Notamacropus eugenii: one gene and its partner. The protein of the gene in region 1 interacts with the protein of each later gene in a biochemical or structural test. Links are inferred from orthologs where the notes say so. Each region holds a gene or a part of one and is shown on either strand. Other genes may lie near its edges.

Region 1 (15,771 bases):
TCAGGTTAAGTTCAGAATACCACAGTTTCTTTCATTGTTTTTCCTTCAATCCTCCTCTTTAAGGCATATCTTCATTAGTGCCTCTAATGACAATCATTAGAAGCAATATTAAAAGATGTTTTAAAATTTTTTGATTCTCACAACAGAGAAACTTAATAGGCTGCAAAAAAATGAACAAGATCTTTGTTTAGCAAATATTTCTCATTAAAATGTCCAATTTTAACTCTCCCATGTGAAGAAAGTGATAAGCTCTCTAGGGAAGAAGCTAAATTAAAGGATATTGCATTTAGATTCTTCCATACTTACGTGAAATTCAGAAATCCTTCTGGAAAGGGGGCTTGCTCTGCTCAACAATTTCCTAGAGTTTACCAAAGAAGCTCTGTAGTTTTCTAACGTCTGGATAAAAACTGAGAAGCTGTATATTTCCTCTGACTAGATGTAGCAGATATTCTCTTTGGCTGGAATCATCAATAGTAGGTAGGAAGCTGATGAAGAGAATGACTGGAGCAAGTACACTGAACTTTACTGAATTCACTACAGAATAAAATGAAGGCAAAACAATATAAATCAACAAAAATATGAATCATGTCAAATCAACTGGCACTCTTCCCTGAATACGTTAAGGAGGGAATAAAAAGGTTTGGTTTTGAAGCTGAGGAGGAGAGCTATAACTATGAATAAAAGATACTGAAGGGAAAGGCCATTCACAAAGCAGAACCAATTTTTGTAACATAGGAGGTAGGTAGCAAAGATAGAGACAAAAGATAAAGAAAACTAGCAACACTACATGTAACACTGTTGATATTGTTCAAAGATGGACATGAAGATTTTCAACCTCTAAAACATTAAGTTCACTGAACCCACAGATTACTGTAGTTTATTATGATATCAATTGAAAACAAAGGATTCATAGGTGTGCCCTCTTTGGCTGTTCCTACAGTTTTTCCTTACAAGGCTCATTAGCCTGTTGGCAACTACTTATAGGATATGAAGCCAGGAGGCTCCCAATGCTTTTTCCTTGGTTCTCAGTTCTTTCACTACCCGTTAGAAACTTGAGCAATGTTAAATCTACTTACCTAGACTCATCTAAATCCATATGGCATACAAAGCTGCCATTTATTACTGAACTTCCCTCCTAAATGTCTTAGTACCACTTCAAATATAGAGAGGACAAGGCTACTAAATATATTCTTACTTGCATCACACTAGAAAGAGCCTTTCATAGACCTTTCAAGTGAGCAAAAGACCTTACGGTAATGACTGACTTCGTTGTACTTTACTATGCTCAGTTAGAACCAAAAAAATAGAGAACCACTGTCTTTCAATTACAAACTACTGAAAAGTAGGTACTAACTGGTTTTGTATGGTACTGAGCACAGAATTAGGAAGAGAATTAAAGATTTGGATGATGCTGATAATATAAATTATTTCGTTAGGTCCAATATTATCTGCATGTTGATGTGTACCAATCCTATTCCTTTCTTCCCACATTTATAGAAAGATGATAATGTACTGGAAAAAACAATGGGTTTGGAGTAAGGAAACTTGGGTTCAAGTCCTGGCTCTGTCATAAATGAGATGTGATTCTTGGCAAGTTACTTCACCTTTCTAAGGTTTAGTCTCTTCAGCTGTAAAATGAGAAAAGGATTGAGGTTGAGGTCAGTATCGAGGTTTGAAGCCTTGTTTGTCTGCTCCCTGTATGACAATAAGAAGGTCACTTCATTTTGATGTGCCTCAGTTTTCTCATCTATAAAATGAAGGGGTTAGACTGGCAATAACTCTTAAACTGAAATCTGTGAACTCTAAAAACATTCTGATAATATTTCAATGTAATTGTGTATGTATATTATGCATGTGTATTATATATACACGTTACATATGGTGTGTACATACACATGTGTATATATGTAGCAATACATTACATGCTTATATGCAGTGCATATATCATATATACATATGTCTATTACATATGTATATATATATGTATGTGTATATATATATGTATGTGTATATATATATACACACACATACTATTCTGAGACAAGGTACATAGGTATCACTAGACTACCAATGAAGTCTACGACACAAAAAATGTTAAGAACCTCTGGGCTAGATCATTTCTATGCTGTCTCTTCCAGAATTTTTACTTCCACTATATACCTCACAGGGCTGTTGTATCAAATGAGAAAAGGTATATCCTTTTTAAACTTTAAAGCGATGTAAATATAAGTTTTTATTATTACTTCCTTGTGCTGTTGATTAAGTTTCTTAATGCCAATATGGGCAGCTTATCTTACTAGATAGAGTGCTAGGCCTGGAGTCAGGAAGCCATATTCCTCAGTTCAAATTTGACCTCAGACATTTACTAGCTTTGTGACCCTGGGTAAGTCACCCATTTGCCTCAGTTTCCTCATACGTAAAATGAGCTGAAGAAGAAAATGGCAAATCATTCTAATATCTTTGCCAAGAAAATCTCAGAAAAAGTCACAAAGATTAAGACATGACTGAAAACGACTAAACAACAAACTACAACAAAATGTCACTATATTAATTGAGGATAAGTTCTTTTAAAACACAACTGATAACAGTGAACTAGGTTCACTGTTTTCAATCTCTTTCCCAAGAATACTAAAATTCTGCTGTCAATTTAAGCCAAATGAAATAGAGAACCATGTTGAAAATGGCTAAGAAATTGTCTTCAGGTGGGTATTCTTTGACTAGTGCAAAAAGGGTTTGAATTGTTGAATTCGTCTTTTATTAACATTCCAAATGCTACTGATTTAAGAGGCAGAATAAAATTTCTCCTCTTTCAGAAATACTTAAACCATTGATTTGATAGTTCCCATTTTTTCCCCTAAGAACATTATTACTTGAAAACTAAGGATTTACTTTACTATATGTTGCATTTGGACTTCAGTTTGTTCAGAAAATTGTTAGCATTTTTCAGAAATTGTATTTTAGCACAATGTTCCTATTTTAAAATCTGATTTCTCCCTTAAGTCACCACATTCATTCATCAACCCGTTGCTATTTGACTTTTGTCTCCATAATACTATTGAAACTGTGTTATTAAAGGTCACCAATTATATCCTTTAATGACAAATCCAATGGTTATTTTCTCAGGTGTCATCCTCCTAGAGAACTTGACTCCATTCAACTCCATCTCTTCCCCCACCCCTCAGTTCCTACAACAGCATTTCATTTTTCTAATTATTCTTATCTGATCTTTTTTCTATCTCCCTGACTGGCTTTTAGTCCATTCATAGAATTGCTCCCAAAGATTTTGTTCTAGGTTTTTCTTTTTTCTTCTCTCTTCTTCCATAATCTTATTCATTTTCATAGCTTCAACTACATCTCCCAAATCTAACTCTCTAGATCTGATCTCTCGTAGATTTGACCCACATTTCCTTTTGCGTACTGGACTCCTACAGTTGAACATCATCACGATATCTCAAACTCCAACACTTACAGACCTGAGCTTACTACTTTTCTCCTAAAAACCTACTCCTCCTTCTGACTTCCCAATTTCTATTAACAATATCACTACTGACCTGCACTCAAAACTTCAGGGTTACCTTAGGAAGTGAGACTGGAGGAAAACTCAATTAGTAGCTAAGTTTCTGTTAATTCCACCTCCACAAATTCTCTTTTCAATTCAGTTCAACAAGCATTTACTAAGAAGACTACTGTGTTCTAAGTGTTTGTGATAAAGACAAAAAATTTTAAAGTCCTTGCCTCCTTGACTATATTTTACTGGTAGAAAACAATGTTTATAGACAAGCAGATTGTGTGTGTGTGTGTGTGTGTGTGTGTGTGTGTGTATGTATGTATGTCCCAAATAAATATCACACAGGGAGGCAAAGCTCTAATAACAGGGGGAAATCAGGAAAGGACTCTCAAAGAAGGTGAAACTTGAGCTTAGGCTTGTAGAGTTTCCAAAGGGCGGAAATAAGGAAGAACAGAAATACAACTGAGGGGAACAACCTGGTTGGCAAAGACACAAAGATAGGGATGAAATATCATATAGGGAACATCAAGTAAGCCAATTTTCCTGGGATGTGGAGTGCATGTGAAGGAATAATACATAATCAGTGTGGAAAGATAAGCTACAGGGATTTAAAGTATTTTAAATGCTGAAAATTTAGAGGACTATGCATTTTTATCTTAGAGGCAATGTGAAACCAGTGAAGTTTTCTATGCAGGAGTGTCATGGTTAGATCTATGTTTCAGGAATATCAATTTGGTGGCTGGATAGAGAACAGAATGGGGAAAGAGGAAGCAGACAGTTTATCAGGAGGCTATTGTCAAAGGGATGATGACCACCTCAATTAAGATGGTTGTGGTGTGAGGTGTGAAGGGACAGATGCAAGGAATGTTGTGGAGAAAAAAACTTTCCACAAGATTTGGCAAATGATTGTCTATGAGGGGTGAGTGAGACTGAGGAGTTACTCTATTTTGCATTTGCTGCTTTACCTAGTTTCAAATCCAGGGAAGAAGCAACCTCTTCCAGGAGAAACTTCATTTCTAATCTCATCGCCATGCTGCTAACTCAAGCCTGGACTGACACTACCCCCCTCAGCTTCCTCTCCCTCCTGACAGGAGGACTAGAGGATGGATAACCTCATGAGAGAGGAGTCTCAGTGCCTTCCTTTATACAAGGCAGACTGGCCTCCCAACTCACTCCACTTTGCATCTGCTACTCTGCCTGGTTTCAACTCCAGGAAACAAGATATCCCTGGTGTGTTGTCCTTTCCTCCACTTTCCTGCCTCCCTTCGTGTGTTGTCTCCAACTATTAGACTGAAAATTCCTTGAGGGCAGAAACTGTCTTTCTTTTTACTCATTGTATCCCCAGCAGTTAGCCAGTGCCTAGCATATAAAAGCTTAATAAATGTTTCTTGGATTGGACTGAGATGTATAACATCAGAATTATAAATCTGAGAGATTGGAAGAATGTGATGCTCTTAAAAAAATAGGGAGCTTAGAAATAGCGGTAGACTTAGGTGGAAAGATAATGCATTTTGTTTTGGATAGCTGAACTTGTGAAGCCTCAGGGACAATAAGGTGGAGATGTCTGGCAGGTGGAGATACTGGCCTGGAATGAAGGAGAAAGATGAGGACTGGAAAAGTGATTGGGATGATAGTTGAACTAGAGAGCAGATGAGATCACCAATAGTGTGCAGGGAGAGAAGAGGGCCCAGGATGGAGCCCTGGGTGTATACTCATGCATAAAGGGTGGGACACCAGACTGACGGAAGAACTTGGAGAGAGCATTATCAAAGTCAGGGAAGAGAGAGTGGTGGCCAGTGTCAAATGATACAGAGATGTAAAACAGGATGAAGACTGAAAAAAGTCTGTTGGATTATGCAATAAATAATAGGATCTTGTAAGAAAGCGGTTTCAGTGAAGTATGAAAACGGATGGCAGGAGGTAAGTGGTGATGAGAAGTGATATGGGATGGGCATGAGAATGAACCAGTGAATTTGAAAAAGCATATATTAAGCTCCTACAATATACCAATATTATATAATGCTAGTCCCCAGGGAAACAAGCATTAAAGCAAAAACAGTTCCTGCCCTCAAAGAGCTGACATTCTCAGGGGATATTTGGTTCTGAAAGTTACAGAGATGCTAAGTGGAACCATAAGGGAGTAGAATGATATGCCTCTTTCAGAAACAACAGCACAGTTGGTTTGAAATTGGTTCATGATGCCTGAATACCTTACATTAAATTCAAGGCAGAAGATGGTAAAGACAAGATGTAAGGGGAGGCTTTCTATATCCATGGATGCCATGCATTACAACTCTCCCAGACTACTACAATGTTCTCCTAACACGTCTTCCCGTTTTTTTCCCCCAAAACTATTCTTTACACTGTTTATGCACAAATCTGGTGGATCTTCTCTGTTTGAAACTCTTTAAAGCCTCTATGAAAGTCTTTCTGGTTCTTTCAGGCTGTGTCCTTTATCTCTTTCTTAAAGACCAAGTCCAAGGGTACAGGCCAAGTGTATGGATCAATCACCTAATATGTGGTATTAAGGGGAGAAAGGGGATTCAAAAGGTCCAGGTGAAACCATGTTACCAAAATTCTAACCTCTTTAAGGAGACAGCAGGGATTTAGGATATCTATACCAAGGATATAGGTATATATACCTAGGATATTTGTCTACTTTCATACTGTTATAAGCCCTCTCATAAAATTAAAGGCTTCATGAAAGCAAGAAGCCTTTTATTGATCTATGTCATCCACCTAGGAACTGAATTATATAATATTTTGCACTAGAAATTCATTACTTAAATATATGGAGAGAATTCCACCATGGGTACTAAGACCCACAAGTGTAAGCTAATTTGCCATACTGTTATATCTCAAATCCCATGTAACAAAGGTTCCCATTGACTATACTCCCTATTACGAAATTGTTAAGATGTGATGAAAGGAACACTGGATTAAAAGTCAAAAGACCTAGGGTCATCTTGGTTTTGTTACTTACTATTTCCATGACCTTCAATTACTGAATCGCTCTCCAGGCCTCGATTTCCTCATTTGTAAAATGGTTTAGACATTATCAAAAGAACTTACAACTCTATTAAATGAGGCTCTCTCAAAACACTCCAAATATACAGTAATTTACTGGCTATCAAAACAAAGGTGTGTAATAAACAGGTAGGCAAAAATCCTGACCAGCGAGAGCGCTAATCAGCGCTGTAGAAAAAGCACTGGAACTGGAGTCACAGGACCTACCCACAAATTCCTGAAACATCTTGGCTACTTAGTATCTAGAAGGTACCGTGAAAGTCACACACCCTCTTCACTTTTCTCATCTGTAAGGACGAGGTGATCTCTAAGGTTCCTTCTAGTCCTAAATCCTCGGATGCTTTTGGTGTCCATTTTCGAGCGTTTTAACATTTGGACCAAACCGAACTGCACAGGACAAAAGGTGGACTTGGGACTAAAACCCAGGAATCATGGACTTATTAAATCGTATACAACTTAAAAGAAGCTGATACCACCAAGTGCAACACTCATTTCACGGCCAGGAACACTGAAGCCCGGGAATCCTAAATTAACTTGCTCAAGGTCACGCAGGCAAGAAACCCAGACCGCCTGACTGCCAGGAGGGTGGGTTTATCTCCTAACGTAATCTCATCCCACAGGATTTGGATTCACGTTTCCAAGTATTCTCAAAGATTTACTCAAGCTTTTGTGCTTTCCATAAAGGGTTAACGCCTAACACGACGCCCTCGGCATTTCCATCCAGAGGGGTTACCCTGGCCCTTTTCCGTTGTTTTCCCAAGTCTTTCAATCCCGCATTCCACTGGGGGGAAAGGTCACGGGCCGACAGCCTCGTACACACGGAAGCCCAGGCACGCGCAGACAGGCGGCGGCTCCGGAGCCACGAGAAAAAAGGAGCTCGAAGGGAGAAAACGGAGGGAAGGGAGGTGGGGGCGTGTAACGTGAGACACAACGAACTGGGAAATCCTCACTCCATCTGCCAACCCCTGGCACGGCAGGGCAGAGGAGGGCAGGGCACCGCCGAGCAGAGACTCATTAACAGGCAGCGAGCGCACACTGCAGCAAAGGGTGGGGGGAAGGGGAGGAGAGCGTGAATGGCGGGGGGAGGGAAGTGGGCGCGCAAAGAAGCAGAGCGCGGCGGCTCCGGCGGCGGCGCACGTACAAACAGCCGCACGGCCGGGGCCGCCCTTTTATAGGCCGAGCCCGAAGCCTCGCGCTCCCCCCGCCCCTCGCGCCGCCTCCGGGCCACGCGCAGGAGCCCCGAACATTACCTGGAGACTTGGTGCTAAATCCGTCCGATCTCCTCCGATCTCCTCCGCTCACCCCGCCCCGCCCCTCCCCTCCCCACCCCTCCCGCGCGCCGCGGCTCGGCGCCGCCCCTCCCCCTCCCCCTCCCTCTCCCTCCTCTCCCCTTCCCCCGGCTTCCTCCCCTACTCTGGATTCTCTTACCTTCTGAAAACGGGCGGAGGCGCCGGGCGCCCATCTCCGCCTCCACTGCAGGATACGAAATGGCGGTCTGAGAAAAAAAAAAAACCGCGAAATGCCGCAGCCTTTGCCAATCCCGCGTAACCGCTGAAACCGACCCAAACGCAGCCGCCCTTCCCCCAACTCCAAACACTTCTGCCCCGCAAGTGACTGAAAGGCGACCCCCTCCTTCGCCATCCATGACATCGGCGCTCCACCTCCCCTTCTCCCTCTCCTAGCCCGCACCCAGGTGACGGTACCCACATTACGAGTCATCGATTCTCCCGGGCCCCAGCTGGGGCTGGACCCGGCGCGTGCCGATCGGGGGCGGGGGGAGAAACACATTCTCTTTCTTTTCTTTCCCCCTCCCTCCCACCCTATCTTTTCCTTTCCCTCCCGGTGACCCCCCCCCCATTCCTCCTCTTCTTCCTAACCACACCCCCTCCCCCACCCTCTTTACACCCCCCCTTCTCCCCCCCCAGTGGTTGCGTCCGTGACATCATCATCATGGCAACAAGAGCTGCAGCCTGGGACGGAGAAGCCTGTGTGATCCCCGGAGGCGGCGGCAGCGGCAGTAGCAGCGGCAGCGACGAAAGCGTCGGGGTTTCTCTGGCCGTGCCCCCCGCGCGGCGCTCCTGAGGAGGCGGCAGCAGCAGCGCGGACCCCTAGCCCTGGGCCCCGCCGCCGCCGCCGCCGCCGCTCCTGCTCCTCCTCGCGGTGTCTGGGAGGGGTGAGGAGACGAGAGCGGAGATAGGGGCCGGCAGGCGAGGCGGGCGGGGAGGGGGCGCTGCTGCTGCTGCTGCTGCTGCGGGAACTGCTGCTGCTGTTCTGTGTGGCTGCTGAGGGAGAGGTGGCGGCGGCGGCGAACATGTTTTCAGTGCGGATAGTGACTGCCGATTACTACATGGCCAGCCCGCTGCAGGGGCTGGATATCTGCCAATCCCCCTTCACCCAGGACCCCGTCAAGAAGGTGCCGGTGGTGCGAGTCTTCGGAGCGACCCCCGCAGGTGAGCGCGACCGGGGGGAGGGGGCGGCCACTCCGGGGCACACACACGCACGCCGGCCGTGGCCACCGCCGCCGGCGTCTGCCTGGGCTTGTCTCTCACGCGTGACAGGGGGCGAGCTGTGGGCTCAGCGCAGATACCCCCCTCGCCCCCAGCCGAAAGGCAGAGGGAGGCGCAGAGAAGCGGTCTCCCTGAGTGTTTACACTGCGCCAGGCTGCCGGGAGCCGGAGGACAGACGCCGCACTCCCTGCCTCTCCTCTCAACATCCCCCTCCCCCTTTAAATGAGAACCGCCTTGCGGGGCTGGGATGGTCTTTGTGGGGCCTTCGTGGACCTGTTCGGAGTAGTCCCCCCTCCCCTCTAGTGCTGATCACCTGGTGGGAAGCACCACCATGTCTTGCTTCTCGTCTACTGCCTCTGTCTGGAAATAGCTTCACAAGAGGAGGAAGCGGTCATTTCTGTTGTCAAAATGTTACCACCATCACGCTGCCATCATGCTCCTTGTTCCCTTCCTTTCCTCTCGGAGATGCAGTAGGCAGTACATTGAGGGAGGTGCCCGGGGCCACACAGCTTTCCCATTGAAATGACCATGTGGCTTTCCGGTGGGAGCTGTGGATGATTCCTGAAGGATTTGTGGCGTTGACGCCTCCAGAGTCTGGGGACAAGATAGCACCCCACAGGTGCGGGGCTTGGAGTGAGGCTTGCATCTTTGGAAGCAGAAAATATTTGTTTCTGAAGGAAAAACGTACCATGTCATAGGTTTAATTTGTTAGGAACCACAATTCAACACAGATGTATAAACGTAGAAAATGCCATGTGCTGGGTGGCAGGATTGCCTTTTAGACAGACAGTACATCTTTAGATAAAAAGAGCTGCTTTAAGGCTATATTGCAGCAGATGAGGAGGGAGGGGGAAATGGAATGATCTTAGTTATGTTTTCAAAAGCTCCTGAGGTTCATGATCATTTGATTAGGATGTTGGCCAAACTTGAAAGGTGCTTTTTTAATCACTTCGCTTTTATTCTAACGTATTTGGAGTGGCCTACCTCCTTCCCTCCCTCAGAAATGGATGCCCTTACCTTTAGCTATGCGTTTTTGTCCCATGGGATTTTGAATTGTATTTCCCACTTGATGCTCCTTGCCCTTTTCACCATTCACCTTATTACTAGATTCCGTTTCCTATAAACTACCAACATATTACTATTTCCCTAAAGATAAAATTTCTTCCCAGGCATTTATCTTTTAGTGCAAATTCCCTTTGTTAAAATTATCTATGTTCATAGGAGCATTTCATTACAGTATCCAGTTGTTGAGGTTTTTTTAAAATAGAGATTAAAGGGGGTGTTGACACCTTTTAAGATAGAGCATTTCAATACTGTAGGGTTTTGTTACAAGAGTATTACTTGAAACTTTGAACATGTAGGGGAGGGCTGAGCAGATAAAGTGCTGGAAAAGATAGGTTTTCTGTCCTCTTTAATGTAAGGGATGCTGTCTTTGTTTCTAATTGAAATTTGTATTATCTCGTTTGTTCTCCAGGTGCAATGAAAAGGAGAGATCCTGCAATTGATGTATCTTTGTCAAATGATAAAACAGATGCTAGGCATCCAGTGTTATTTCTGCTTATAACTTTTACATTTTGTTACATTCTTTCCCTGCAGCTCATTTTGATTGCCCCCCTCCCAGTGTTATTGAACATTCCTGAGTGAATTTTCATACTCTGATAGGATGATTCATAAAGTAATTATAATTTTGTAACTATTTGTCCAAAAATGTATGGTCCTGAGTTTTTCCACAACTTGAATAGAAAATTTCAGCGGATGAAAGTTATTTTAATAAAACAACTATTATCTATAAAAAATAAGTAATTTATCCTACTTTTAAAGCATAATGAGAGAAATTTTTCCTTCAATAACTAACTTCATCTTCTGTTGTGTAGTTTTTCTCAGCTCAAGACACTCTCTCCTACTTTTTTTAAACAGGAAATTAATTTATAAAATTATTCATTGTTTGTAGACATGCACCTTTTAAGTGGGCTGAGTATTGGATTTGGAGTCACATGACTTGGGTTCAGTGCTAGTATAGCTACTTATTACCTTCAGCAAGTCACATCTCCTCTGGGACTCAGTTTCCTTACCTGTAAAAAGACAAGTATGAACACCTTCCAATTCCAGATCTAGGAACATACTAGTGACAAAATTATCTTTAAAAATTGCTTTTTTAAAATGAGTCATTTGACCATGTATGTGAGTGGTTAAAATTATAATTAATGATCAGCTTATATTACATAATATGCCATAAATAAGTATAACATTTAAGAATTAACTGCTAATGTACTCTTAAAGGCTTGATTTGGGTCTAGAGCTGGAAGGGACTTCAGAGGCCAACTGATGAGGAGATTAAGGCTCAAGGTGGTTAAATGATTTATTTGCCCAAGTTCATACAGGGAATAAGTGTCAGAGACAAATCAGTTATTGAACTTTTTCAGAGGAATAAATTGTTTTGATGTATTTTCCTAATGAGTGTTATTTTTGAATGAGTAGATTTTGAATAAATAAGTTATGCCAGTTTGTACTGTTGCATGGAAATGCTTTCTTTTCTAAAATATCTAGTTTGGTTTACTTTAAATTTGTTTGACTCTATTTAAATGTTCAGTGTGGATAACTTTTTAGAAATTAGGTGTCCTGAATTAAAAAATAGACTCTTCTTGTTACATTTCTTGAACAAATAAAATTTGGATAGTAATTGCTCAGTGAGGCTGTTGACTCCTAAAAAATCATTTTTATATTCTTGGTTTGAGTGGAAGTATTATTCAAGAATGATCTGCTGTGATTTTCTTTACATTAATGTTTTTCCCTAAGAGCTTTATTTTGTTATCTCACCTGTTTGACATTTATTAAGTACTGCCAACTGCTTCCTTTCTTCATTAGGAAGAGTAGTTTTGGACAGTGTTTACAAGTTGGAGATAGTATTTTTGTATTTTTTAAATACAGAAGTGTTTGTTTACTCTGGGAATTTAAGTAATAAAACGCATGGTGATGGAAAGAGACTTCAACTTGTAGTCTGAGGACTTGGGTTCTAGCCCCTAACCAGCCCACAAGTTAGATTGATATGAGCTTCTGTTTCCTGATCGTGTAAAATTAAGTTCTTGGACCAGGTAGTTAATTTCTCAGATCCCTTCTACCTACAAAACTCTTTGACATAGCATTGTGAAGCCACTTGGACTTGGAAAACTGTTCATTTCCCATATCCTGACTTTTTTTAGTCTTTTGGCTTAATTCAGGCCTTGGGAAAACTGACTTCTTAACACCAAGCTAAAAAGAACTGTCTCCTTTAGGAAAGGCCTTTGAACTTGAGATGCAAATAAGAACCAACAGAAGGTGTGAAGTCCACAAAGTAAGGATTGTAAGTACAGTAGGCCAAACTGTAAATAGAAGAAGCCCTTTCTTAGGGGAAGTATCTTTCTTCATTCTCTGAAAGTTTATTGAAGTGGAAATAATTATTACATATGGAATCTAATGACCTGTGTTCCAATTCAGCTCTGCAGTTACATAGAATTCCTATGACCTTCATCTCTCTGAGTTTCACTTTCCTCATCTCTAAATTGAAGGTGTTAGACTAGAAAAGGGATCTTTATAGGTCTCTTTCTACCTCCAGGGTCTTTGATTATTGTAGTATAATGAAGTATAGTATTGTTGATTCTGTGAACAACATAAATCAGATTTGCTAGAGCTGATTCAATTCAGCAAACATTTTAAGCAAATTATTTTGTCCAAGACTGAGTTCTGGGGATACAAAGACAAAACACTCCTTCCCCTTAGGGAATTTACGTTCTTACTTTGTACTGGGGGATACAGTAGTGTATACCATTAAATAAATGCAAAACAGTATAATTAATTTCTAGGGGGAAGAGTATGCTAATTATGGGGGAGGGGGAATAGGACGGGAGACCAGGTCAAATAAAGGTCTCTTCTACCAGATGACTGACATTTAAGTCATGCTTTGAAGAAAACTAATTTTTTTGTAAGATGGAGGTGAGGAAGGCATTCCAGACTTGAGGAACCACTTATGTAAAGGCAAGAGTGGTAAAAGATGACATATCATGTTTGGAAACATCTAGGAGACTAGTTAGACTATATTTGAGGATACAGGAAAGGGACTATATGAAATAAAAATGGAAGGGGAGATGGGAGGAAGATTGTGGTGGATTTTAAATGCCAGGCTGAAAATTTTGTATTTTATTTTAGAAAGAAGTAGGGAGCCATTGAAGATTTTCATCTTGAGATAAGGGATATGTCATTATGTGGTCAATTAGGTTTTGTGAGTAGCAGTTTGGCAGGAATGTGAAAGATGTATTGGAGAGGGGAGGAAATGAAAGTAGGGAGACCTTTTAGACTATTGTAGTGGTCTAGGTCAGAACTGAAGAAGGCCTACATTAAAATAGAAAGAAGTCACAATACCATGCTAAATGGGTCTATTCCTAATATATATGATTGGAGAGAGAAGGACAAATGAGAGATGTGGTGAAGATAGAATTTACAAGACTTGGCAACACATTTGATATGGACCTTGAAAGAGGGAGAAGAATAAAGGATAAAATCCAAGATTGCATTCCCAGAGTTGCACCCATCTACCTATGTAGATATAGTCTTTTATTCATGTAGGCTAATAAATTTAGAGATATTTTAATCCAAATTGCTTATTTCACGGATGACAAAACAGAGGTTAAGTGACTTGCCTAAAGTCACACAGCTAGTATCAGAACCAGGATTTGAATTAAATCAATTAACAAATATTTATTTAAGTGCTTACTATATGTATAAATTCAAAAGTAAAATAATACCTGCCCACAAAGTGCGTACATTCTGTCCAGTGAGACAACACATACAGGGAAAAGAATATACAAAACAGATATAAGATGATTGGGGTGGGGCTGCATTTAGGGTGACCAAAAAAGACTTTTGTGTAGAAGGTGATACTTGAGCTAAGACTTGAAAGAAATTGAAAGTTTTAAGAGAGAAGTAGTTAGGGGGGGAGTAGGGAAGATAGTGCATTACAGACATGGAGGACAATCAGCTCCAAAATAAGAAGAAATACCTTGTATTAAAAAGGGTAAGAAGATCAGATTGAGAGGAGAGTTGGATTTTGAAGAGGATTAGTATATAATAAGGTACGAATATTTGTTGGTACCAGGTTATAAAGGGCTTTGAATGACAAATAGAGGAGTTTGTATTTCATCTTAGAGGTAATGGGGAGCCACAAGAGTTTATTGAATAGGCATCGACATGGTCAGATTTGTGCTTTAGCTAAATTGCTTTGGAGTTAAGTTGAAGTTGATTGACATGGAGAGAGGCAGGGAGATAATTGGAAGGTTATTGTAGTAGTTCAATCAAGAAGTGATGAAGGTCTAAACTGAGGTGATAGCTACATGAATGGAGTCAGATTTGAAAGGTCTTATGAAGGTGGAAATGACACGATTTTGTAATTTGAGTATGTGGGGGGGTAAGGAGCTGATATTGATACTCTGGAAGAATAATGGCGCTTTTAAAATTATTAGAGAATTTTGGAAGAGGGATGTGTTTTTATTGACAAAGATAGTGAATTTTATTTTGGACATAGTGTGAGGCACATGTGAAACATCCAATACCAGTTGTCTACTTATTCATTCTCATCCATTTCATCACTAGTCTGTTAGTGTGCTACTCCAGATCTGCATGTCCCTTGTACTGTGCCCTCTGCAGTGTTGGCTCCATAATGAACAGACTTCCTTTTGTTTTAAACTTCCTCTTTCACTCCTTTTATCTTTTAGCACTCACTGATACCTGTCTCCCTTCAGACAATACTGCATCTTTGACCACTGTTCCCAAAGCCTTCTGATTCACTGGTCTAGGTAGAGCAGTAGGAATAATCAGTTTTTGCTCTCCATTGTCACTTCAGACTCTTTCTCTACCACCTTCACTTCTAGAGTCAAACTTCTACTTTAGTTCTTGGCTGAAAGTCTCTCTGCTCTAACTCCTGCCATCATAATAAGGGTCATCAGATACAGATTAGTGTACGTCCTAATTCTTTAGTCTGTTCAACTCCCGTGACCTATTCCATCATACTACCACAGCTACACATCAGGATAGTTAAACCTTTGATATTACCATCACCTGAAATTATTGTATTATGTTGAGGACCTCTGATGTTCCTTTATCCAGTCATAATCTTTTATTATTATGTCTCTTTTTGTGCTTTATGACACCCCCCCCCCTCCAAAACCCTATTCTTTGTCCTTACCATGACTTACATTTCCTCTAACTCTCAATACTTCATTTGATCATCCATCACCCCTACTTTGCATTCTCTTTTCTTCCCAGTCATGACCCTTTGGTGTGCCTGTTCAACGCTGTATGATCCTCTCTAATCTCAAAAATGCCTGCACTTCTCCCTCTTCCCCCATCTCTGGTCACACATTGCCAAACCACAACCCTGGATTATTCCACTATTTCTGCTTGCATGCTGCTGAAGGAAGTCACAAAACTTTTCTAAGTGTACCCATTACAAATTTATGCTATCTAATCTGAGCTAGACCTTCATGACACCAAGGCAGTACTTCTGTTCCTCCTTAATCAATTATATATCCCATTCACCACAGTGGCTATTCCATACCTCTTTTCTTCTTAAACATCTCCTTGGCCTTTCAGTTGAGGACCGAGGCTCATTCTTCATTGAAAAAATTGAGCCCATTTGCTGAAATTTCCCTCTTCTCCCCTTTTTCTCTCACATCCCTCTAAAGTCATATCCATTTATCT
Region 2 (16,491 bases), on another chromosome or scaffold:
TGTTATTTTCTTCAGCATTTTTTTAGGTCTCCTTTAGCAAGGTATTAACCTGCTTTTCATGCTTTTCTTGCATCTATCTCATTTCTCTTCCCAGTTTTTCCTCCACCTCTCTAACTTGATTTTCAAAATCCTTTTTGAGCTCTTCCATGGCCTGAGCCCATTGAATATTTATTTTGGATGTTTGGGATATAGAAGCCTTGACTTCTATGTCTTTCCCTGATGGTAAGCATTGTTCTTCCTCATCAGAAAGGATGGCAGGAGATATCTGTTCACCAAGAAAGTACCGTTCTATGGTCTTATTTTTTTCCCCTTTTCTGGGCATTTTCCCAGCCAGTTACTTGACTTCTGAGTTTCCTTTCCACACCCACCTCACCTCCAGATCCACCCAGCTAGTGCTTGGGGGCTGAGATTCAAATGCTGCTTCCCAGCCTCAGGGTTTTCAGCAGGGGCAAGGCTGGTATTCAGTGTGAGATTAAGTTCAGGTGCTTGGGTTGGGGCAGAGCCACCCCACTGGCTTAGTTCCCTCAGGGGATTTATGTGGAGACCTTCAACAATGGATCCAGGCTCCTGCCTGCTTTGGGAGCCCCTGTCTACTGCTGCCTCCACTGCTGCCTCCCGAGGGGCCTGAGTTATGGGGGCACCCCACTCCCCTCTCAGGGAGCTGAAAAGATCCTCTCACTGACCTTTGGTGCTTGTGGGTGGAGGGACCTGCGCTGCTGCTTGAGATTCTGTCCCTGAAGCCTGCTCAGATCTGCTCCCCTCAGTGCCACGGGGCCAAGGCAGGGCTGGGCTCTGCTCTGGTGTTCAACGGACCTTTGGTGTCAGTTTTTCAGGTCTCTCTGGAACAGAGATCTCCTCCATTCCATTGTTCTGTGGCTTCTGCTGCTCCAGAATTTGTTGGGAGTTCTTCTTTACAGATATTTTATGGGCTGTGGGTTAGGAGCTAGCATATGTGTATCTTTCTAGTCCACCATCTTGGCTCCTCCCTCACATATAGACTTTTTTGAAATGGAAATTTATTGTTGTATATTTTGAATCCTCTCAAGTTCTGCTGTGCAGATGGCAACGCTTTTTTTATCTTTTCTTATTTTGTATTATTTTAGTTCTACTATTTAAGTTTCTATTTTTCTTTCTGTATCTAAGTTTAAAATTTTTTAAAATTTACAAAAATAAAAAAATGAGGATTGATTCAGGGGGCAGAGCCAAGATGATGGAATTAAGTGAGATTTTTGTTTAGCTCTCCTTACATACTCCTCTAAATAACTTTTAAAAGACTGTCAAACCAAATTGTGAGTAGGATAAACAACAAGTCACAGTGAGTCATTTTTCCAGTCGAGGGCAGCTTAGGTAGAGAGAAAGAGGGGTCTACAGGTACTGGGGAAGAGGCTAGTGGGGAGTATGACAAAAGTAGGGTGTAGCAGAAGTGATCCTGAACTAGCTGTGGCCCTTGGAAGTCACAGCAGTAGCAGCTCTGGTGGCACTGGGAGCACCCAGCCTAAAGGGCTGGCAAGGTGACTGAACACCTGATCAGAAAGAGATTCCAGGGGATCCCTATGTTAACACTGGGTACAGGATCAGGCACCATTTGACAACCACTCCAGTGCCTTTAACAAGAAAATCCCAGATGAAGAGTTGTACATAGCTAAACAAAACAATGATCGGGGTTAGATAATAAATGTTTGAATATTTAAACAAAAATATTAGGGGTGGGGGGTGACATTTAATGATACAGAAGACCTTCAAGCATTCCTGATGAAAAGACGAGAGCTGAATAGAAATGTGACATTCAAAAGCAAGACTCAAGGGAAGCATGAAAAGGAAAACACAAGTGAGAAATCACAAGGGCCTTACACAACAGGGAAGTAGGAGGGGAACAGCTAAGAGAAAGGGGGGTGGCTAAGAGGGATAATGAATTAAGGAAGGCAGTGGTCAGAAACCAAGGGCCACTGATTCAATCACCCAATAGACTAGCATTTATTAAGCACCTACAATGTCCCAGGAAAAATCCTAGGCTTTGGGGATACGAAGAATGAAACAATCCCTACTCCCAATGAGTTTATAGCAATGGAGAGAAGAAGCATTCCAAATTACTTAGAATGTAGACCTACAAAAATCAACAAGTATTTATTAAGCACTGACTACATGCCAGATCCTAAACTAGGTGCTGGGGATATAAAAAAGATGATGAAACATTTCCTGAGTTTAAGGAGAATTCTATTAGAGAGGAGATAAATGTTCATGGATAAGGAAATATAATGTATAACAAGTAGTCTGGACTCATTCCCTATCAGGCCTCTAAGTATACTACTGAGGAGACTGGTCAGAAGAGGAGGAGGTCTTTCTCTAATGCTGTCCCTTTGAGCCCCCATTCTAGTGCTTTCCTTCTATTATTTGCCACCAGTAAATAGTACTCCAGTTCCGTTTAACTAATTGACATCAATTAGATTTTTACAAAGGATATGAACTTTGAAGATACAACAATCCCAGAAGCACAAACATTTCTTCTCTAAAACCTTGGAGACACTTTCCCCTCTGTCAGCTCAGTCTCTGTGGAGAGCAGATTATTTGTGCATGTTCTAATTCTCTACAAGGCATTTCCATAATTCATCAGCATAAATCAGATTCCCCAGACTCTTCCACGTGGGGGAACTGCATCAGCTAGGTATTCTGGCATACTGACAAAGACTGCTCTCATTAGCCAGTCTTCTCTTGTACATACCATGTTCTCCTGGCCCGAAGGAGGCTCTCAGTGAGAGAGTACCAGTCCCCCCTTTTAAGTAACTACACAAAATAAATATGCTGTGATGGTGGAGGATGGAGGTAGATTGCAACTGGAGGATCAGGAAGTAAAAGATGGAGGTATTTGATGGGAGCCTTGAATGAAACTAGTTGCTCCAGGAGGCAGATGTGAGGAAGGAAAGGATTCTAGGCATGGGGGACAGCTAGCTGAAAGCAGAGGAGGGAAATGATGGCATGTCCTATACAAGGGAGAACAAGTGGGCCATCCTGGGTTGAGTGCAGAATGTTTGAAGGGGAGGGATGTGTAATCAGGCTAGGAAAAGAGACTGGAGCCAGACTATGAGGGCTTTAAATCCTCCAGAGAGCAGGCAATGAGGATTTTTTGTGAAGTAAAGTGATGTAATCAGACCTATACTCTTGGAATTTGAATCGGGTGGCTTTATAGAGACAGATTGGAGAAGAGGGAGCCTAGAATCAGGAAGAATATTTGGGGGACTCATGCAATACAAGAAGAGATAAGGACCTGGACTAGGGTAATCGTGGTGTGAATGAGAGAGAACAGGATGGATGGGAGAGATGTCAGGGAAATGGAATCAAGACCTGGCAACTGATCAGACAGGGAGGAAGGCAAGAGGTGAATGAGAATGAAGAATCAAGGATGACTCATGGTTCGATAACCTGGTGGTGCTCTTCACAGAAATAGGGAAGTTTGGAAAAGGAGGAGTGTGGGAAGGAAAGATAATGGATTTTGTTTTGGACATGTTGCCTTTGAGAGGCCTACAGTCCATCCAGGTGAACATAGATGCAAGCAGCTGGAAATGCTGGACTGGATCCCAGAAGAGATTCAAGGGCTGGATATGTAGATTTGGAAATTATCAGCATAGAAATAATTGAATCCATGGGAAGTGATGAGATCACTAAAGAAAAGATGAATGTTTGTGATAGCGCCTTAGGGCACACCCTCTTTCCTAGGGTGAAGGAGGTTTAGAGTAGAAAGAGACCTCAGAAGCCATCTAGTCCAAAATATGAGGAGATTAAGGCCCAAAGAGGTTAAATGGATTGTCCAGAACCACACAGGTGATACGTGACAGAGGCAAGATTTTAAACAAGATCCAGTCAATCAGTCAAAATGAAGCACTTCCTGTGAGCTAGGCCATGTTCAAAGATACAAAGGAAGACAAGAACAGTCCTGCCTTTAAGAAGTCCACGTTCTGCTATGGGACACAAGACGTAAATAACTAGGCCCATACACGACATATGCAGAGTAGACAGAAGGTAATCTTAGCCCAGGAAAGGCCTCCTAGCATAGTTCTTGAAGACAGTCCTGGAAACCAAGAGACAGAGCATGGGGGCCAGCCAGAGCAGAAACGTTCAAGGAAGTGTCACGTTCATGGGAGGTGATGGTAGCTGAAGTGTCTGGAAGGGCCTGAAATATACGAAGGCCTTGAAGGGAGGAAGGGGACAAGTGTGAAGGGCTTTCAAAGGCAAACCAAGAAAGCATTTGATCAGCTCCTTTAGGATTTTATTCTAAGGGGGTGTGAGCTCTTTTGTTATTCACACCAGACAAGAATCAGCCTGAGACACCCTTAAACCCTATCTGTCTCTCAGCTTCTCTAGACTGTGTTTGTGAGCTTCTACTTCCAAACTCATTGAGTTGTCTGATCTGAGAAGCATAAGGAAACTTGGTTCAGCTCCAGGTCACTCCCCTCAAGTCAATCTCGGTCCATACAATTCCCACTAGGGTGAATCTGAGTGTCTGAGGAGAGCTGACGATCTGTGTCCCTCCCACTAACAAAAATTCTCCCCTTCCCAGTGGGTCTGTGATGCAAGGAGGAACATAAGCACCTGTATTCTGATGGAGTAACTCAGGAGGCTGCCCATCCAACCACATATTGTGCAACATGCGTTTTTCTTCCACACTCCTTGTTTGGTGAGGATAATTAAATGACTGGATTTCACTGAGGATACTTCATAGTGTTTTGGGATTTGATAGAATTAGTACAATATCTGTACAAGGCCTTTTTCTAATACATCACTGGCACATCTTGGGTCAACACCAGAGGCACAAAAGCTTTCATTCACTCTACCAAACTACAGAGGCTTTGGATACAAGAGGTAGAGGGTTCAAATTCCATCCTTGAAACTGTTTATGTAACTGGAGAAGTCCCTCTTCCATTCCGGACCTAATTCCTCATCTGTAAGATGAGGTGTTTGGACTGGATGGCTATTAAGGGCCCCCCTAGCTCTAAATCTATGATCCTACGAGTATGAGTCAGAGGACTGACAGCATCTACTCAAGACTCAACTCAAATCCCATCTTATGACATACACACTAAGTACATCAGAAGATAGAGGGCCAGGCAATGGTATTTTCCATGACAGAGAACCAGGACACTGAAGAACATATCTGTATTTCTTAGAAGGGGCAGGGTGTTTGAGGACACTGGGGGGTAGGGGAGGAGAAGAGGAATATTATAAATTATTTTATTAAAAACTTTGAACTGTATGAATTCATAACTTCCTAGGTCTCTGTTTTTCATCACTATTAGAAGTTAGCAGAACTATCTAAAATGAATGCATTTTTAAAACTAGAAATAATAGAATGAACATTGGACTGTTAGGAGCTCCGTATTGCTTCCTCTTCTGTAAAACCGAGAGGGAGGGGAGAATTGTGAAGGGGGAGGGAGTGTCAGAGATCCATGACTAAGAACCTCCAAAGTGCTTTCCACCTCTAAGAACCAAGTTTCCAAACTCTTAGGATGAGAATTTTAATGATGCCTGTTTCATAGCTAAACAGTGCCATCTTCTGGCCAATTGGTTTAATGTCCAGAAAGATTTCTGTTAAACCAAAATCCCCCTATATTGGGGGGGTCCCACTTGTCCACAGAATGAAAATCCTATTTAAAATCAGTTCTTTTTTAAGCCAAAATTTCAAGAATGAAAGACTTCTTCAATATTTTCAAACAGCACAGCAATATGCATGAGGTTAGGTTGCACTGTAGTGGATAAAGAGCCAGGTCTAGAGTCAGAAAGACTGCTCTTCCTGAGTTCAAATCCGGCCTCAGACACTGACTAGTTGTGTGACCCTGGGTAAGTCATTTAACCCTGTTTGCCTCAGTTTTCTCATCTGTAAAATAAGTTGGAGAAGAAAATGTTAAGCCACTCCCAAATCTTTGCCAAGAAAACCCTCCAAAGGGGTCATGGAGAGTCTGACATGACTGAAATGACTGATCAGAGACTAGCTTTTATGACCATCTGCTGACTGAGCTAAAACAAATTACCTAACCTCTCTGGACATTCTTTAAATGAGAGTGCTGGAATAGTGGCTATTATTGTCATCATTATTAGCATTATTCTGGGCTATACAGAACTAGGCGATGCAGTGCACAGAGCACTGGCCACGGAGTTAGGAGAACCTGAGTTCAAATCGAGTCTCAGACACTCACTAGCTGTGTGACCCTGGGCACTTACCCCAATAGCCTCAAAAATATTAGTATTATTCATTTTAACAAATAATAAATAGAATAATTATGTAGTATGTGATATAATAAATATTAATTTTTGGCATTTATAGAGCACTTTAAGGTTCACCAAGCACTTTGTAATCTCATTCAATCCGCAAAATAAATCTAGGAGGTATGTTATTATTATCTCCATTTTACAGGTAAGGAAACTTAGGTAAAGAGAAGTTAAGTGACTTTCCAAGGGTCACACAGCTAGTAAACGTCTGAAGTGGAATTTGAGTTGAAGTCTTCCTGGCTGCAGGTCCAGTGCTCTGTCCACTGTGCTAAAAGTCAACTTTTGGACTCTGGCAATTAATTTGTTATGTTGAAAAAGCTTTACATTTTATAGCACATAACCACATAAGTTTATTTTAAAAAAAAAAGTTACTTCATTTTACTTAATCCTTACCAAGTTGCCTTTTTTTATGGTTGCTGGCCTCCTGGGACATTTGCTTCTCCTTCCATCTTAGGTGAGTCTGGTAAACCACTCTAGAGTAATTGGAGAAATTCCACCCAGCTGCTCCCAAAAAGATTCGGTGAATTGAAGACTTAATTCTAGAGACTTTAGAACACCTTGTCAATTTGGCTCAGAGACACCTTTCCCAGGTCTCAAAGGAAAGAAAAGATAGTCAAGTTTGTCATCGTTGCCATATCTGAGTGGTGTCAGTAGGGTTTCTGACTCTGGATGGAGACATTCAGAGTGGGGGAAACTGCCCCTCTGGTCTCCTCCATATACTCTGGGATCTGGTGACACTGACCTCCTCGCTGTCCCCATCTGGACTCAGGAGCATTTCTCTGGCTGTCCCTCCTCATCTTTGCCCCTCTACAGGAAGCCTTTCCTGGTCCTCATTAAGGTTACTTTGTTTCCTTTGAGATTACCTCTCATTTACCATGTATATATCTTATCTGCATATAGTTTGCATTCTGTCTCCTCCGTTGCTCGGTGAGCCTAGAGAAGATGGGGGGTTGTTGGGGAGGTGGCTGGTGAAGGGAGAGTGTATTCAAGTACATTTTGTAGAAGAGCTGCTGTGGAGGGGCAGCTGAGTATCACTGGATAGGGATGGGGCCATAGACCTCCGGTCAGACATATGGTTATATTGGTAGCTCTTCATTCTATACTCAGCCATCTCCAGTCCACTTAGCTCTTGTCTTGTCACCAGACTCTGATAACTCTGGAGGACAGATGAGGTTGATGACTTTGCACCCCCATTCACTGAAGGTCAAGACCTCACCCTCCTGATGTCATCGTCTTCTTTCAAGAACATGTGATGAACAACAACTTTAATAAGCAGCTGGTGTGTTTGAAAAGGGAGATGACTTGGGCTCAGCTGTCCTAAATTCAAATTCTGCCTCAACCATTTACTTACTCCAGGGGTGACTTCGGGCAAATCTTTTCAACTTTCGGCTCCTGTTTCATCCTGTAGAAAAAACACGTGATCTCCAAGGTCCCTTCTTGCTCTAATTCCTATGAGATGTTTACTATTAGAATAATAAGACTTTGGAAAATATATTTTGGAATATAATATTGGAATAATAGTAATCCTTTGGAAAAGGTCAAGGTCTTTGGCATGAAACGGTCAGTTCATTAGTCACCTAGGCAATGGGTCATAAAGAAAGGCAAAAAACAACCAGTCCCTGAGGTCAGGGCGCTCCCAGGCCGCCGTCGCCGTGGAGATACTTCACTCAAGTGCACAGAACGGATTTCCTTTTAAAGTCCTTTCCAGGTAAACTGCGCAAACTGTCAGCGGAGCCAGGACGCGGCTGGTTTGTGCATGACCCATGGGCAGCCGCCAGGTGGCGCCGCAGCGCACGGAGCGCCCGCCGAGAGGCAGGCCTCGGCTTCCCGCAGTCAGACGTGACGTCAGACTTTCCCCAGCTGTGTGGCCCTGTCTGACTTAGTTTCCCCATCTGTCCAAGGGCCGGGGAAGGAAATTCCCCCCCCCCAGGATGTGTGCCCAGCTTCTCCTCGCGCGTCCCGGGCCGCAGCCCGCCCTTCAAACAGCGGGCGCCCCAGACTCGGATCCAGGCCGGGGCCTCCTCGCCCGCGCGCTCGCGGAGCCCCGACCTCAGTTTCCGAATCTGTGCCGGGGCCGGGGAAGTGGGCGGGACCTGCTTTCCGCGACTCCACTCCCGCCCCCCCATGCTGCTAGCAGGAGTGCGCCTGCGCGGCGTAATGCGCTAGAGGCGGGGTGGAGCTCGTGGGGAGAGGCCGCGCCTGCGCCGAGGGACAACGGCTTCCTTCTGCCCGCAACAGGACGCCGGAGGTGAAAGAGAGGCGGGAAGCGGCAGAACGCCTCGTTGCGCCTGCGCAATGGTAAGGGCCGAGGAGGAAGGCGAGAGCCCAGGCCCCGGTGGCGCTTGCGCAGAGCGGGACGCTCGCGGCGGACCAGAGTGCGCGTGCGTCGAGGCCAGCCCCGCCCCGCTCGGCCGAGGCGCGCGCTGCGGGGATCCCGGCGCGGCTGTTTTTGAACGTGGCCGCGGGGCTGTTGTGAAGGGAGCTCGCGCTCCTGCAGCTGCTCGGTGACCGCGACCATGGAGCGGCAGCTCACCCGGGACCAGGGCATCACCCTGCGCGGCAGCGCCGACATCGTCGCCGAGTTCTTCTGTGAGTGCCTCCCTCCCCCCTTCCCTGGGAGCCCCCGCTGCCTCAGTGTCCCCGCCTGTCAGCGACCTCTAGGCCCCCGCGCCCTCGTGGTCCAGTCGTTTGAGCCCCCGCCGACGCCGGGCCCCCTTGGGTTTATCTGGGCAGAGACGCCGGGGCGGTCGGCCGTGTCCTTCTCCAGCTCTCTTTACAGATGAGCGAACCGAGGCCAACGGCGTTAAATGACCCCCCCCCAGGGTCGCCCCGCTGGGAAGTGCTTGAGGCCGAATCTGAACTTGGGGCCTCCTGACTCCATTCAGCCGCCCGCCCCTCTTACACGCGGGGAAACTGAGGCTCAGGACGGGGCCTTAGGACCCGAGGCCCGCGGGCGTGTCCGGGCCGCTGAAGACCGCTCTGGTGACAGCTGATCATTGCCCGTTGTATCCGATGGTGAGGAATGTCTCATCTCGGGGGCTGCCCTTCCTTGCAACTGTATCAATGTGGGAGGAAGAGGGACTCGCTACTGTATCTAGTCTGGCCCTGTCTAGCCCTCTCCCTGGCACGTGAGGGGAAGGGGCTGGGCCAGGTAAGAGCTTTGATGTCCTCCCTGCTAACGAGCAGCCTGGAGAGGCTCCTCATAGGTTGGTGTCTGATCTTTAGTGAACTTAAGATCTGTAAATGCCAGGTTTTATAGGTGGATGGTAATGGTAAGTATTTGCTATTTCTATTTTCATATAGTGGCTGTTTCAGCACTGTACTGAAATGTAACCTTGGGAAAATTCATATATTTTTATGGCCTTACCTCTAGATGATTATTCCAGCCATAGATGTTTACTGACCATAAAAACTAGAATATTTTCTGCAGGGAAAAATCAAAGTAGGGTGTTTGTGTGCACATATATGTTGCATTTATGTGTGTATACATATGTTGCATTTACTATAGAACTTTATTCTTAGCTATGGGTTTCCTTTCTTTTCTACCAATTTGGACTGAAGTTGAAGCATTTTGTGATCTTTAAAAAAAACACTTTCCTATTCTTTTCGCTTTCAGCATTTGGCATCAACAGTATCTTATATCAGCGTGGTATATACCCATCTGAAACTTTTACTCGGGTGCAGAAATATGGGCTGACTTTGCTTGTCACAACAGATCCTGATCTCATAAAATACTTGAATAACGTGGTGGACCAACTAAAAGGTATTTGAGCTGAAATATATGTTTTTTCCTATTTCCAGACCTTGCCAAACCAAATGTAGGAGAATCTAGATTGTTAGCCTAAAAATCAACATTCTGTACTGCTGGTCTTTATCATATCATTTGAAATAGATTTTGATGTCAGAAAGGAATTGTGTGTCTAGTTAGTCAAGAAATGTTTGTTAAGTGTCTCCTATGTGCTGGGGCTGTATTGTACTAAGCACTGGGGAGCCAAATAAAGACAAATAAAGATAAGCCCTCTGTTCTCAGAGGGCTCCCAGTGTAATGGAAGATGAACAGCAACTATGTACAAGCCAGCTGTAGTGTTGATTATCTGAATTAAAATTGATTATCTGAAATAAAAAGGAAACTGAGGACAAAATTACTGAGCCGTCTATGATTTAATCTGCAAAGCTAGCATTGTGTATTAAGCCAGGTTACCAGACTCCTTAGAGGTCAGAGACAAGGAATGATTAACAGAGATGATTTTTATAACCAAAAAGAGGAAAAATGACAAACTTGTTTTGAACATAATTCCTTTGGACAAGTCAGGTCACCTCTAGTTAGCTTCTCTCAGACTTTCTCCATCCTCTGCCAGATGTCCTTTCCTCCAGGTAGTACCTCTTATAATCAGAAAGTGTATTAGGAAAGAGGAACTTGTGGTCAGTGGTTACCACCCCTACCTCCAGTGTTCCTTAGCAGAGTCCATTACTCTTGGAAGATGCTCTAGCCAAAGAAAAGGGGGCTTATCTTAACCTCTGGATAACCTTCTTCCAGATGCCAGAAAAGGGAACTTGGCTTCAGTCAGCCTCACCCCCTAGACTTTTGAAAAACCTTATAATCATGATTATTTTCTTCTTCCAAAGTATCTGCTACTCATTGATAAAGTATTCTCATTCAATGTATTCGCTAAATCTATAGGTAATATAGACTCAGAAGACTATTTCAGTCTGGCTTAGTTCTTCCTAAAGAAGAGCTGTAATCGAACTAAAACGTAATCAAAAGAAATTTAGAAAATTGTAAAAGTAAAAACGTAATCAAAAAGAGCTGATTTCTTTTTCAATAGACAGGATAAATTGGAAAAAAGCCACAGAGGGAATGCACTAGAATGAAGAGGGATTGGGAAAGGCTTTCTATAGAAAGTAGGATTTCTAGCAGGGACTCAGAAGAGGTCAGAGAGTGGAAAGGAGGAGGCAAAGAATTCTGTGCATGTCGGACAGCCACTGGACAGTCCTGGAGTCTGGGGACATGGGAGTGCCTTGGGGGATGAGCAAGGAGGTCATTGTTGCTGAATAGTAGGAAGCCTGCTGGGGAAGGGCGGTGTCAGGTACAAGAAGACACGGGGAGCAGAAACAGGATTTTAGTATTGATCCTGGAAGAGTTAGGGAGCCACTGAAGTGTACTGAACTGTGCTTTAGAAAGACAGCTTTACCTTCTGACTTGAGGCAGACAGACATTTCTCCAGCGGCCATTGCAGTGATCCAGGTGTGCAGTGAAAGGAGAGAAGGAGGCATATATGAGAGATGCTGTAGGGGAGCATAGGCAGGCCTTGGCACCAGTTTGGATGGGGGGTGAGGGAAGGTAGAGCAAGGATCCAGGTGGACCCCTGGGTTATGACGCAAGGCACCAGGGGGATGGAGATGCCCTCGACAGCCAGAGGGATCATGTTTACAACTGACACAATTGTAACAAGCATTGGGGCGGTTAGGCAGCACAGTGAGTAGAGCTGGACTTGGAGACAAGACTCGTGTGAATAGTGCCTCGGACAAGTGACCCTGGGCATGTCGCTTAATTTCTGCCAGCCATCTGTAAAGTAAAGGTAATAAAATAGCAACTCTTTCACAAAGCTCTAATTAGTGAACTCATAAAAGTGCTGTATAAATGCCAACTGTTAGTACTCACTGGGATATAGTTTTATTTTCCAGCTTCAGGATTTTGTAGCCATGATTACTGAGGGGTCGAGGAAATTAAAAATAGAAAATTCCCCAAGCCCCCAGATTGATGTGGGGTGTTGTATTGTTGGCAGCAGACAAAAACAGACGGTTTCTCATGTTGCATGCAGACTGGCTGTACAATTGTTCAGTTCAGAAATTGGTGGTGGTGATTTCGAATATTGAAAGTGGCGAGGTCCTTGAACGATGGCAGTTTGATATTGAGTGTGACAAGACTGCCAAAGAAGACAGGTGAGCGTGCACTTACTTATTTTTAAATTCATTTTTCCCCAATAAATATTTCAGTTCTAATTCTCTAATGGAAAACCTACGCAGGCAATGACATTTGAGTTTGTTCGATCATTTTGTGCCAATCTCTTTTTTGAGATGTGGTCTCCTTTTGCCCAAATCCCAATACTGCTTAGCACAGGTTAGGCCTAACCTTAGTGCAGGTTGTCTCTTAGCGCCCCCTGCTGGACGCTCTCCATCCCTGTGCTCTACTTGGTGTGAAAACCTATTGCAGCAACAGAGCTCCCAGACTCAAACAATCCAGCATCCTCAGTCTCCATGCAACCCCCAAGCCCATTGGGCTGCTTTATGCTAGTCTTACAACTCCATGGTAAATACTCCTTCAATGACTTTTTAATTGAATTTTATTTCCTGTAAAATGTTAAGGTTAATTACTGAATTTTAATAGTTATTGTTACATAGTCAATTGTATGCAGCATTTTTAGGAAATAAAATCCATACATGTGTTTTGCAAATAGAAATGAGGCTGAGTAATGGAGGGGAGGGTCTACCCTCTAGGCCCCTGGACCCAGCACAAATGCAAACCTAAAAGCAGAAATCAAGCTCATGCCACAATTAGGAACAGAGGTGCGTGACTAAGTCTGAAAAATATAAATGAATAAGGTGCTGGATTTGGGAGATGGTCGTGAGGACCATCTTCGTACATTTTAGGAGGTAATGACTTGAATTTTTGTTTAGTCGTTTTTACAGTTTTGTCCAGCTCTTCATGACCCCATTTGGGATTTTCTTGGCTGAGATACTGGAGTTTTTTTGCTATTTCCTTCTCCAGCTTATTTTACAGATGAGGAAACTGAGGCAAACAGGGTGAAATGACTTACCTGGATTACGCAGCTGGGAAGTGTCTGAGGCCTGACTAGAACTGAGGAAGATGGTTCTTCCTGCCTCCAGACCTGGAGCTTTGTCCACTACTCCATCTAGCTGTCCCAATGACTTGACTCTAAATTTCTTTTAATAAAATTGAAGTCAAATTGTTACCTTTTTCATTTTTCATCCTTGTGTCCTAGAACCCAACACATTAACTTGTATATAACACTTGTGTGTTGGGTAATACAAAATATTGTTTACATAAACTAAAATTATAATGTTGAACCTTAAGAAATGACTCCATTACAGCAAGTTTAGTCTCTTAACTGTAGAGTTTGAACTTGTGGGGGTGTGATGTCATGACTTTTTTGGGAAATAGGCTTGTTTTTTCTCAGGATTAACTATTAGGCTTAGCCTGTTTATTCCTATCAGATGTTTGCTTGACTTTATAATGATCTTAGAAAGTCGTTCCTAGTTTTCATTCATTCAACATCATGAAGTGATATGTTTTGTTTCCTTTGTAGTGCACCAAGAGAGAAATCGGTGAAATCTATCCAAGATGAAATCCGCTCAGTGATCCGCCAAATTACAGCCACCGTGACATTTCTGCCGTTGTTAGAAGCAGCTTGTAAGTATTTGGTAGAAGCCTTGTTGGCTCTGACCACACTTGATAATTCTGGAACTGGTTCTGCTGGAACCTTCTGCTGGACGTCAATAAGCCCTTGCGTGCGATTTGGGGAATTTTATAGCTTTGTGCTCATATGATTGTTTGACTAGTGACTGTGAAGCCTGTTAGCATGGTGACTGGAATCTCACTTATAAGAGGACTTGGGGAAGTCTTAGAACTAGTTAGTGAGGAGACCAGGTATTGAAACGAAGGCCTCCCAATTCTCCGTGGTTGGTTAAACAAACTCTGACTTCCATAAACATTCAAATAACTTTTTCCCCCATGTCAGTGAAAGTATTTTAGCTGACACACTTATTGAACTGCTATATTTTTGTCACAAATCATGGATGAAAGAATGGAACCTAAGGGACCAAACAGAAACAATGAAAAGATCCATTAAGTATAACAAGTTTAAGATTTGGAACCAGAACTCCTGGGTCCGAGTCAGATCCTGCCTTGACCTGTGAGATCCTTGGTCAAATCATTCAGTCTCTTGAGGCCTCAGTTTCTGAAAGTGATTTGAAAGTTTCTGAAAGGGATTTGAAAGTTTCTGAAAGGGATTTGATGAGATTTATTTGAAGTGTAAATGCTATGATCCTGGGAACTTAACTTGTCTGTCTCACGGTCTATTGATTTAGGGTTGGGTTTTTTGTTTTAAAACAATGTCATCATATATCATTGTTCTCTGCTGGTCAGTTTACTGATCTATTTACTAATGAAAAAGTTTCTTCATTTATAGAGAAACCTAGAAAATACCTCTTTTTAGAAATATTTTTAAATCTTCTTTTATTATTAAAATAACAACCATTTGTGTGTTCTGTTTTAATCTGTACTGATAGTGCCTGTAAGGCCTAGCTGGGACTGTTTTCTGCTTCTCATATAACCTCTCCAGTCTGGTTTCTTGTTACAGGTTCATGATCAAGGGTATGGTTACATTTCTAATCTTGTTAGTGTCAGGTTTAAGAAGTAGGTTTGAGATCCCTCTTGACCTGAGCTGTGTGTTAACAAACTAGAATGAATCCCGACTTAGCTGCTTCACAGAAAAGTTGAAAGAAGTATCTGCCAGTTTTCACATTTCGAATGCTCTGTGAACTTTGATGACAGGAAATTTGAGTTTCTCATGCAAGTCTTCAGTAACATTTTAGTGACTAGAAGTTTTTAAGACCATGTCTCACCTCAGTGTTGGGAGAGAAGGTGCCTTGTTTGTTTTAAATCTCGCTGAAACATGACTTGCAAACCTAGCGCTTCCTTGATACCAAAAGAACAAAAGCCTGGGGTCCATTGGAAATAACACAAACTCCATTATTTCCCCCTGATTCAGGTGCATTCGATCTACTCATTTACACAGACAAAGAACTCGTAGTCCCTGAAAAATGGGAAGAATCCGGGCCACAGTTTATCGCCAATTCTGAAGAGGTCCGCCTCCGTTCCTTTACTACCACTATCCACAAAGTCAATAGCATGGTGGCCTACAAAATTCCTGTCAACGAGTGAGGGCAAGGGAAGGAAAATAATGAGTGTGTGATTCTCAAACTGGATTTCCCGTAAGATAATTTAAATGAGTTGATGCATTTTATTTCACTGGTTAAACTTTAAATGGGAAAACTAATACTCTGTTGTACTGGCCAAAATTCTTCTATTGTCTATACATACTGGACACACCTTAGGGCTGACATCATGGAGTAGAGAGGATTTTAGTGCTTTTCCTCTAGTTTTATTGTGTTTTTGGCTAAAATAGATTGGTACAGAAACACGGTGCAACATTGTTTAGGAGACAGAAGAAGATACTCAGTGGTGGGTGCTAAAACATATTAGTGTCCAGCCTCTCTAAGTAGTCAGCATTGTTTTCCGTCTTTAGTCAAAAGTTGACACTTGCTTAAAATCAAATGTTTTATTCATAATTTGAGGAAAATTTTTAGTGAGGAGGTGATGAATGTGCCAAGAGAGGTCTAAATAGTAGAATTTTTTGTTTTTATTTTGTTCTGGGAATAGCTAAAAAGATACTGATAATAGGAATCCATCAGTTATGACAATGACGAATTCATTTTGTCCCAGAATATCAGTTACTTCTTTGAAAACCTTCCAGAGTTTGAAATACTGTTATCATCAATACTTGTATAAGCTGCGCTAAAGTGCTCTAGAGACAGCAAAACTCTGGTTTTTAAAAATGTCTTGTTGTATGTTTTGCGATAATCAAGCCTTAAATGACTGTAAATGGTGAAATAAAGTTAATTTTGTGACTTAAGTCTGTGTCAGTTATTACTGGTAACTACATTGTGTAACATAAATACATAAGCTAAACTTGACCATGTATCCCAAGATTGGAGTTGTGGGAAGAACAATGAATTTGGAGTCAGAAAATGTCATCTCTGCTACTTACTACATGATCTCAATTCACATAAGTTGCCTGTACTTCATTTTCCCATTTTCAGGGCCCGAGGAAGGGCTGAATTAAGTGGTTGCAAAGGTCCCTTCTAGCTTTAAACTCGTTGGTTTTGTGGTGGCCACATTAAGGTCACTTTGGATACTTTCTCTTTGTCTTCTTTGTTTAGTATTCCTTTGTTATCTTTTACCATTATCTGAAGTCAGAGGGCCTGAATTCAAATTCTGCCATGGTTAATACTTGTGTGACCACGAACAAGGAACATAACTTCTCTGGGCCTCGGTTTCTCATCCGTAAAATGAGACAATTAGACTAGTTTAATGTCCCTTTCAACTTTAAATCTATGATCCCATGAACAATGAGTTTACCAGAAAGTAAC

The links.
Region 2: the proteins of REV3L (region 1) and MAD2L1 form a complex in vitro, tested with the Homo sapiens proteins (2 studies listed by BioGRID). The link is inferred for Notamacropus eugenii from reciprocal best matches to the Homo sapiens genes REV3L and MAD2L1.

Annotation. Positions count from the first base shown.
Region 1 is NC_092873.1:191,658,380-191,674,150, reverse strand, and holds the start of REV3L (DNA polymerase zeta catalytic subunit), read left to right. Parts: upstream 1-8,136; 5' UTR 8,137-8,228; intron 8,229-8,460; 5' UTR 8,461-8,846; coding exon 8,847-8,985; intron 8,986-15,771. UniProt on the Homo sapiens protein: Catalytic subunit of the DNA polymerase zeta complex, an error-prone polymerase specialized in translesion DNA synthesis (TLS). Lacks an intrinsic 3'-5' exonuclease activity and thus has no proofreading function.
Region 2 is NC_092878.1:164,428,612-164,445,102, forward strand, and holds MAD2L1 (mitotic spindle assembly checkpoint protein MAD2A), read left to right. Parts: upstream 1-8,652; 5' UTR 8,653-8,774; coding exon 8,775-8,847; intron 8,848-9,874; coding exon 9,875-10,021; intron 10,022-12,044; coding exon 12,045-12,201; intron 12,202-13,586; coding exon 13,587-13,690; intron 13,691-15,050; coding exon 15,051-15,223; 3' UTR 15,224-15,974; downstream 15,975-16,491. UniProt on the Homo sapiens protein: Component of the spindle-assembly checkpoint that prevents the onset of anaphase until all chromosomes are properly aligned at the metaphase plate.